Oryzias latipes: one gene and its partners. The protein of the gene in region 2 purifies or fractionates together with the protein of the main gene of each other region. This does not show direct contact. Links are inferred from orthologs where the notes say so. Each region holds a gene or a part of one and is shown on either strand. Other genes may lie near its edges. The genes, in order: sprtn, pold3 and pold1.

Region 1 (2,423 bases), on a different chromosome or scaffold from region 2:
CCCCTTTTTTCTGTTTTTTAGTGCAAATAATTACAATTATAAACTGGTGCCAAAATAAAATGGTCATGTGTCGTACGTTTGAAACATTTGATTGACAGGTTTTGTGTAGCCGGCTTTCAAGCAGTAGGGGTGTGGAGCTTCAGCAACCTCACTCCTGATTGGCCAGAGCAACTGCCATGGAGACGTCAACTCAGACCAACTTGAACCAATCACTGCTTACTGATGTCGTCTGGCTCCAACATGGCGGCGCAAAAATATGGCGACTGAATTGACTCCATTTGGTTGGAGCTGGAAGTAAACCATGAGTGACGTCACACTCAGTCAGTCCAGTTCTGAAAAGTATATATACACAATATTACAAAAGGAGGAATAAAAACGTAAATACAGAGTTTTTTTGTGCAACAGACTAACATTTGGCTGAAAATTAAAAGTATTTAGCCACGGCAAAACCATCAACCACTAAAAAACTGTTTGGTTTGTGGATGAAAAGGAAAAATGATGTTTCTGTGGTTTGAGAAAAGACTCCACTCTGGACCCTGTTATCGAATTTTTTAACCAGGCTAAAAAACCTTTTCTGTGCAAACAAAAGCTTTAACCCAGTTAATTATTTTCTTTTAATTCGAAAACCATTCTTTGTGCATATTTGAACTCAAGATCCAAAAGCTGATTTTTTTTATTCAGATTAGTTACTTGCTGCACTGAGCTGACCCTGTTTGCTGTGTTTGCACTAAAGATGCTTGTTTCTGCAGACTCTCCTCCATGAAATGATTCACGCCCTCCTGTTTGTGACCCAAAACAACCGAGACCGAGACGGCCACGGGCCAGAGTTCTGTAAACACATGAATCGTATCAACCAGGCCAGTGGGACCAAGATTACGGTGAGTTTTCCAGCACTTTCAATAGGCTCTGAATGCTCTCTAGAGAATGTTAGGAAATGTCTGCTCTGCTCCCCTTCAGGTCTACCACAGCTTCCACGACGAGGTCGACGTGTACCGGCAGCACTGGTGGCGATGTGACGGACCGTGTCAGAACCGCAGGCCCTACTTCGGCTACGTAAAGAGAGCCATGAACCGAGCTCCTTCCTCCCTGGACCCTTGGTGGGAGGATCACCGGAGGACGTGTGGGGGGACGTACACCAAAATCAAAGAACCCGATGGCTATGGCAAAAAGGGCAAGAAGGACGGGAAGAAGTCTTTAGGAACTAGTAAAACCTCAAACACGGCTAAAGGTAAAGAAACGTGTTTTAACGTATTAAACAGAAGCAGCTTTCTCCTGTTGTTTAGACCTTTATCACTGGAGCTGTCGCCGGTGACTCCTAAATAACAAACGCTCCATGAGATACCGGAACCGTTTGACCGGTTAAGCAATCAACTGGAGTCAGCGGATTCTTGCAGCTTTTCCTATCGTAAAGTGTTGCATTGCAGCACAAAGCCTCATCCTCAAGCCTGACTCAATCAGAGGGAATTATGTTTACTACGTCAACAGAAGTTTGAAGAGCGTGTTTTATCTTCTGTCACCGACAACAGCTCTGGTATGAACCCTTCAAAGACCCACTCTGATGAAAATTGTGGGCTTTTTTTTGTGGGCGGCCGTGGTGCAGCGGTAGGGCGGTCAACCCATGATCGTAAGATTGCAGGCCTTGAACACCCATGTGTCGAAGCGTCCTTGGGCAAGACACTAAATCCCACCATGCCTCTGGTGGGAGGTTGGCGCCAGTGTTCAGCAGCGGAGCCACTATCAGTGTGTGAATGTGTGTGTGACTGTAAAGCGCTTTGGGCCTTCGAAAGAGGATAGAAAGCGCTATAAGTATACGCCATTGACCATGTTTTTAACATAAAAAGCTACCTGCTCTGCTCCATTCTGATGCATCCACTGTCAGACAAATAGATCCATGGACGTCTTTGTTTTGATCATCCGAACTGGAATCTGAATCCAAACTGTACGTCTGCATAGCTCTGATATTGCTCGCCATTTTTGTTGCACCGCTAATGTTAGGTTGGGATTGTGAGAGGCTGTAAGCTAGCAGTTGAGCATGTGATGGGAACTAGGGACAGGTTTACTGCTGCTGCTCTGGAGAAATTGTCCTAGAAAACAACACCCTTATTTTGATTTTGGCTAAAAAACTGCATAATTATTATCAAAAGACCACTTTTAGAATAGATCAAACGATAATCAGAGTGGGAATCTAAGCTGTGCAATGTGGATTTTCAAAGATTTTCAAAAAAAATTTCCCTCCATCTTCAGAATCCGCTGAATCCCTTTGTGTGTCACGAGGTTGCTGGAGCCTACTCTGCTACAGTCGGGCAAAGGCAGGGAACACCCTGAGCCGGTCACCGGTCTGTCGCAGGGCCGCACAGTCACACCTAGGGACAATGTAGTCACTAATGAAGCTATTGAGCCTGTTTTTGGATTGTAGAGAAAGC
Region 2 (2,939 bases):
ACCGAGTCCACCTCAGACCAGGTCCTATTGAAAAACCTCTGGACCTAGACTGCTTAAACCTGGATTCAATTTTGATTTAGATAGTAAAAAATACATTAAACAGTTTCTGATTTGTGAAACCTTTACCTGATTTGTGAAAATGTGAAATGGTATCATAAAAGCGTAAAACGTGATAAAAATCATCCTAAATTTAATAAAGGTCATTTTTTTTCTATACTTTTAGAAGATGACAGCGCCGTGACCTTGGAGGAGGTGTTCACGTTAGCTGCAGGTGTGCCACGTGTTCCTCCTGCTGGTATGAGTCCTCTGCTTCACTTCCCATCTTCAACATCAAGATTACTGTTTTAAAAACCAGTAACACCGGGGCTACAAATGACCCTGTCTGTCTCCCAGGTTTGATTTTCAAAAGTGTGTGAATGAACCAAAAGTCCTCCTGTCTGACTGGTCCACAGCACAGGAACCGTTTGTAAAGTTCTCTACTTTCTAATGTGGATTAAAAATAAGAAGACGCATGCTCACACAATATTTTCAGAGTTTATTGATTATCCCGTGTGTTTACAGCAGGAGACAGAAAGGATATAAAAATGGTTTTCCAGGCTTTGTTTTGTTTTTCAAACTGTCCATGTGTGAGCAGTGAGTCCACACCAACAAAACTGACCTCCTCCAGCGGATCTGGGCAAATGTTCTCACTTCTTCTGAAAAAATCCCATAATAGAAGCTTGTTTTCCTCCTTTGTTGGAGTTGGCCGGAGCTTTTTTCTGAATTTTCTTGTCGTCCTCTTTGCTCCCCGGGTTTGGTTTGGCCTTAAACGGCGCCGTCTGAGCCGCTTTGGGGGCTTGGAAATCCTCCTCGGATTCAGAGTACGATTCACTCTCAAAGCCTTTTTCTGTGACTGTAAAAAAAAAGAAAAAATATTCAGTAAAAAAATCTATGGCGTTTAAAAGGTTTAAAACTGTGTTTGTCATTTTTAATGAACCTTAAAATCATTTAGACAATACAAATGAAGAATTTACTTTGAGGACTCATATCTGAGCTTTGGAAAAGAAAACTTTCACCTTTGAACTATGAAGACAATAAAAGATGATGGAAAAAAAATGTGTGTTGAATTTGCAAAGAATTATAAAGTCATATTTCTGAGGAAACTGTGATTATAATAGTAATAATGATTGCTTTTTCATACCCATACACCCATCAGCGTCCAGATATGTGCGAGACTTCAGGACCCGTCTCCTCTTCCTCACCTTCGCCCCAGAGTGACCCTGCAATATAAAGGTTCATTTATATGAACCTAAGCAACTCATCATTTGAATTTTAAACTAAGAAGTCACTCACATTTGACGGCTGAACAGTTTCCGTTTCTTTTTTAGGACTTCTCTCTCTAGTTAGAGTCTCTTGGGGCTGTGGGGAATCCGGAACGACTGTAAATAAAACAGAAACAGAAACAGAGCCCAGGTTTTAGAAAAAAATTAACTAGAAGTTTATACAAGGTGCTATTTTCTTAAAGGACCTAAACATTCAAAGAGCAAATAAATGACACCTGAAATGGATAAACAGACACCAAAATGAAGTTACATTGATCAGCTGAGATCACAACTCGACTGACTGGAGGAGTTTTTCCAGAACAGGTTAAAAAGTCTCAGATTTGAAAGAGTTGAGAAAACCTGTCAGTTTTTAACTTTCACTGAAATTCAAAGGAGTATTTTGGCCATGAAAGACAAAAAAACATACATGAGAATAAACTCATAAAAGTATGAGAAAAGAAGGAATATTCACAAAAATAGGGTTGTAAAATTATGAAGAAAAGAAAAAGGAAAACGGCAGACCTTGGTTGTGTAAGCCTGAATCCACATTACGTGACTAAATGCAGACGTTCATGGTGATGCCATAAGGCTTAAACATTGGTATCTAGGTGCCACAATCCGCTTGGACCTCTGCAAACACTGCCACAGCCAAATCCACTCCTTTTGGGTCAGAATCTTTCAGGGTCCTGGAAATTCTTTTCAATATCCTTCTAATAAAACAATATTGACTGGACTTAACATTTCCTTATTTGTGAAACCAAAAGTGGTAGTACCCACTTACGTAATATTAGCACTTTTCCTCATTATTTCACGATTACTATTGTAAAATTGCACATTTTTCCCATAATTTCACAACTTTATTCTCATAAATGTTATCTCTCCGTTTTAACAATAAACTGAAAAGAGAAAAATGTCAGTTTTCTCTGACAAACTGAGAATCTTCATTTAATTATTCCTCATTTCTCAGCATAAACTGATCAATCAAAAGAGCATTAAAAGACCTTCTTCATCACTGCTGTCTGGTTCTGGTTTCTTAATCCTCCGCCTCTTCTTCTTGTCCATCTTGTCCTCTTCACTGTCTTCGTCTTCCGCTCTCTTGGTTTTGCTGTGGAGGGAATAAGGCAGCACATTCCCATCAAGCAAAAGGAAAAGCTGGAGTGTTTTTTGCAGGTCAGGGGTAAACACACCTTCTGGGGTCTTTTTGGGTCTGCACTGCTGCACCGTCAAACTTTTCACAGGGTTGAGGACTTTTACGCTGCGGCGGCGGCGGCGGCTCAGATGTGGAAGACGTCTGATCTGCTTCCTCCTTCACGGCTTTGACTGATTTTTCTGTCGAAATGAAGAACCTTTAGTCTAAAAATGCCATTTCCTGTGTGAACATGAGCAGCGTTTGGTGAACCTCAACTTGAGGTAAAGACTAAGAAGATTTAAATGCAAGATATGGAATTTTCTGATGTCGACACACTAAACGGAAGCTGGAAATAGGATTTGGTTAGTAATAAACTGTATTGATGATGGAACTGACTTGCTGTTTGACTCCCAAAGAAGTTCATCATTGGATTGGCTTTTGCAGCTGGCTTGTTTTTAGCAGTATCCACCTACAAAACACAATAATCATAGGTGCCAGAAGCAACACAG
Region 3 (3,660 bases), on a different chromosome or scaffold from region 2:
GTTTTGCATCGTGTGTGATCACCCTCTTAAAGAAATTAGTCAATTACATTCTATTTTTTGCACATAAAGGTTAAGTAATGAGAAGGTGTAGATACTTAGCAGGACGCTCTCTGCCTTGCTCTCCCCGAGGATGGGCTCAAATATTCTCAGTAGCGGTTTGGACAGCTGCTGTTCCAGGTAGTACTGTGTGTCGATGGGAATAGTGTTCTCAAGCACGTAGATCGGGTCCTAAAGCGCCATCAGGAATGGTTATTTACGGCAAAAGTGAGAGGGAAAGAAAAGAAAACGTTGCAGGTCAAAGACGCCACGCACCTCTGACTTCATGTATGCTGCGGCGCCTTTCGCGGCTTTGATGATGACGTACGGCACTCGATCTCCCAGGTTTGGCGCGCTGCCTGCGTCTCTTTTCCTCATTCTGTCAAACATCGACATTAAAAGGGGAATTTCAGAGATTTGACAAAATTCATTAAAGTCCCACTCTGAGCGTTTCCAGTGCTCTTTCAAGTATGGTTATGGCGTTTTTAGCCAAAATCCAAAGTCCTGTGTAATTTTTTCAGACATAGTTTTTTTTTCTTCTCAGACATAGTTTCTCCAGAGCGGCAGTAGTTCATTATAAATTGTGAGAAAACGTATGCGGGTCTAATCGTCTGCAAGTGGATGTATTTGGAATGAAGCGAAGCAGGGAGGTTGTGGCCTAGGAGTATTTGTTGTGTATTTTTTACACAACAAATACTCCTTATTCACATCGATCTGAATAAAGAAATACTCAAAAATGTGGTTTTAGGCTTCATTCTCTTCAAATATGTCCCCCATAAGAAAAATGCCACAAGGAAATGTTAGAAACGGATTGAGAGGAAGACCTTTCTGCCAGCTCCACGTGGGCTTGTTTGCCGGCGTACTCCTGAGCCGTGCGCGTCAGCTCTTTGGTGATGACCAGCTGGCTGATGTCAATACGATTGCAGAGCAGGTCAGAAATGACTTCTTTGGCATGATCAACAGCACCTTGAGGGTCTCTAAAGACAACAAAACCACAGATTTCAGTCAAATACAAAGAATCTGGCATTCACTGCATGTCATGAGCTTAACATTCCGAGTATTTCCAGCAGTTAAGAGATGGAAGCAGGTGTGTACCTGTCGATCAGGATCTTCTGCAGACAGGTGTTGATTAGGTTGGCCACCAGAGGACAGTTGTCTCTGCGGACCGTCTCGATGCCTTTGCAGTCCATCTTGTCATGCGTGTCCGCGCTTGAGGAGAAATAGAGTCCTGCGTAGCGCTTCTTATTGATCAGCAGGTACGGGTAGTAAACCTGTGAGAACATTCAAAAGAAAAGTCTTCTAGGCTGCTACTACACCTTAAATATATTCCCAAGAGTTTCCAAAAAGGTTATACAAAACAACATACTGATGAAAATATCTACAAACAATATCAAATGAATGGAAGGCAGATTGAAATGCATTCAGTTTGCGATGGGAACAATAATTTTGCAAATGTTATGAATGGGAAGATGAGAACTGCAAGAAAACCTGGTCAGCTTTGGACAAGATCCAGCAATTATTATTATAATTATTATTACAGCAATTTCCCAATGCTGTAATATTCAGCAAAAAACATTCAAATGCAAGTTTGAAACCCATAATCAGGGTGGAATCTATTTAAAGAAATCTATTTAATCTAAAATATTTAGAGTAGATCAATATGTATCTAAAGAAGAAAACTAAAATCTGCATGACTGCAATCAAAATGGGACGTCCACATAGATGTATGGAAAAGATAAACATTCATAAAACCATGCCTGGAATGAAACGTCACCTTCTCAAACTCCAGTTTGATGGGGGGTGTAAAGTGGGAGGAGACCCACTCAGCCGCTTCCCTCCCGATTTCCATGGCCTCCTTGACCGTTGCGACTCCGAGCTTGACCATGACGGAGTCTGTGTCTCCGTAAATCACCTGAGCGTTCAAAATTAAAGCATGTTAGGAGGTTTGACTTGCATTAAAAAAGATCTGGTACATGGGGAAGTCGAGCTGGTTCAGCCACACATTCCTCACCTTGGCATCAGCTTGATAACCATTAGAAATGGTGTATTTGGACTCGACGAGCTGTTTAGTTCGTTCGATCATTTGCCTTCCAAATCCGGTGACGCTCTGGACACAAAACAGAATCCATTAACTGATGAATCGACAGATTTATCTTGACTGAAGAGTCAAGAATTCATACAAGAGCGACAAAACAATGGCTTTCTTTGAGAGCAACCGTTAAGTAAATAACCAAGATCATAAGTTAAGAATAAATGTATTTTACCTTACGACAATCAGATAAACAACAATACTTTTAAATTTCGCCCCAACTGTTTCAGCTGCTTTGTGGTTTCCTTTTGCAACATATTTTCCCTTTAAGTTTTGTGTGAACCTTTCATGCTCTACATTTGTGCACACCACACAAAAACCTAAACTGGGGCAGCCCACCGACTGACAGAGACACATGTGGAAGGACCATCGGAGAAACTGCATTTGACCTGTCAAAATAAAATTCTTTAGCGCTACCTGGTCATCTACACTAAAGTGCTCACCTGTGAGATTTCTAAGCAGGGCAGTTTGCCCACCTGAGCCCCTGTGAAGCCATAAACAGAGTTGGCACTGATTTTTAGGGCCAGCTGTCGGCCATCCAGCACCTGCTTCTTAAAAGGGTCGGTTTCCTTCTTTAACTCTGCTTTGGCCCTGCGGACACATTGGAAAATCACGATGAAGACCCAACATGGCTCATGTGTTTGGTGTGGATTTTTACTTTCTGTAAACCCAACCTCTTTCTGGCAGACAGCAGGTTCTCCAGGATTTCCGGAAGAAGTCCCTTCCTCACAGAACTTTTCACAAATTGGTCACCTGTTGGGGTCTTGATGAAATCCTCAGATGACAACCTGCAAACACAGTCATTAAAGTCAGAAACAAAGCTTTTGGAAACCATGTTTATTTCCCCAAACAAAGAAATAAAATGTCTCCAGTGTTAATCATCTAAATCAGTGGTCACTAACCACCAGGCGATGGACAAGTACCCGTCTGTGGGACACGCCAAAAATGTTGGTTGTGTTGGAACATAAACCAACATTTGATCCTTTTTAATTTATCATCCGATTCTGAACTTTTATTTTGAAAAACGACATTCTTGGCACATGTTGAGTTGCTCGGTTACATGATGAAAATACATTCACTACTTTCTTAAAACAGTTGCACCGGCCGCTAAATTGAAACCTCCCAAGCTAGCAAAGTTGACGAAAACAAACGTATTTAGAAAGTTTCTTTCTGGAAAAAAAAAAAAAAAAGCCAGTGAGGAAACAGAAGAAAAATCTTTGACTTCAAAATAAAAGAAAGTTGCATTTAACAGACAAAATCCACAACAACTATTTACTCCAAATATAGATTTGCTGCGACAGTTGTTCCCATTCACTATAATAATAATAATAATAATAATAATTATTATTATTATAATACAGACTCCCTCTTGTTACGAGGATGTAGCTAAAAAGTTGCTCCAACGATGGACTCACGCTTATTATTACATTAAGAAAATACCAGTTTTAGTGCCTTTTTTCTTATTCATCCTTCAAAGTTAGATGAGCCTTAAGTTGGTGTCTGATTTTTTTAGCTTCCACTCTGACAGTTTTGGG

What was found.
Region 1: the proteins of pold3 (region 2) and sprtn purify together in Homo sapiens (affinity purification with mass spectrometry; 3 studies listed by BioGRID, with this or other methods). This does not show direct contact. The link is inferred for Oryzias latipes from reciprocal best matches to the Homo sapiens genes POLD3 and SPRTN.
Region 3: the proteins of pold3 (region 2) and pold1 purify together in Homo sapiens (co-immunoprecipitation; 8 studies listed by BioGRID and IntAct, with this or other methods). This does not show direct contact. The link is inferred for Oryzias latipes from reciprocal best matches to the Homo sapiens genes POLD3 and POLD1.

The regions. Positions count from the first base shown.
Region 1 is NC_019882.2:17,532,057-17,534,479, forward strand, and holds part of sprtn (sprT-like domain-containing protein Spartan), read left to right. Parts: intron 1-749; coding exon 750-878; intron 879-957; coding exon 958-1,228; intron 1,229-2,423. UniProt on the Homo sapiens protein: DNA-dependent metalloendopeptidase that mediates the proteolytic cleavage of covalent DNA-protein cross-links (DPCs) during DNA synthesis, thereby playing a key role in maintaining genomic integrity.
Region 2 is NC_019875.2:1,859,018-1,861,956, forward strand, and holds the end of pold3 (DNA polymerase delta subunit 3), read right to left. Parts: intron 2,900-2,939; coding exon 2,827-2,899; intron 2,631-2,826; coding exon 2,489-2,630; intron 2,407-2,488; coding exon 2,303-2,406; intron 1,419-2,302; coding exon 1,333-1,418; intron 1,260-1,332; coding exon 1,181-1,259; intron 893-1,180; coding exon 687-892; 3' UTR 516-686; downstream 1-515. UniProt on the Homo sapiens protein: Accessory component of both the DNA polymerase delta complex and the DNA polymerase zeta complex.
Region 3 is NC_019866.2:14,475,423-14,479,082, forward strand, and holds part of pold1 (DNA polymerase delta catalytic subunit), read right to left. Parts: intron 2,914-3,660; coding exon 2,800-2,913; intron 2,717-2,799; coding exon 2,569-2,716; intron 2,144-2,568; coding exon 2,048-2,143; intron 1,949-2,047; coding exon 1,811-1,948; intron 1,308-1,810; coding exon 1,132-1,307; intron 1,014-1,131; coding exon 861-1,013; intron 416-860; coding exon 313-415; intron 229-312; coding exon 96-228; intron 26-95; coding exon 1-25. UniProt on the Homo sapiens protein: As the catalytic component of the trimeric (Pol-delta3 complex) and tetrameric DNA polymerase delta complexes (Pol-delta4 complex), plays a crucial role in high fidelity genome replication, including in lagging strand synthesis, and repair.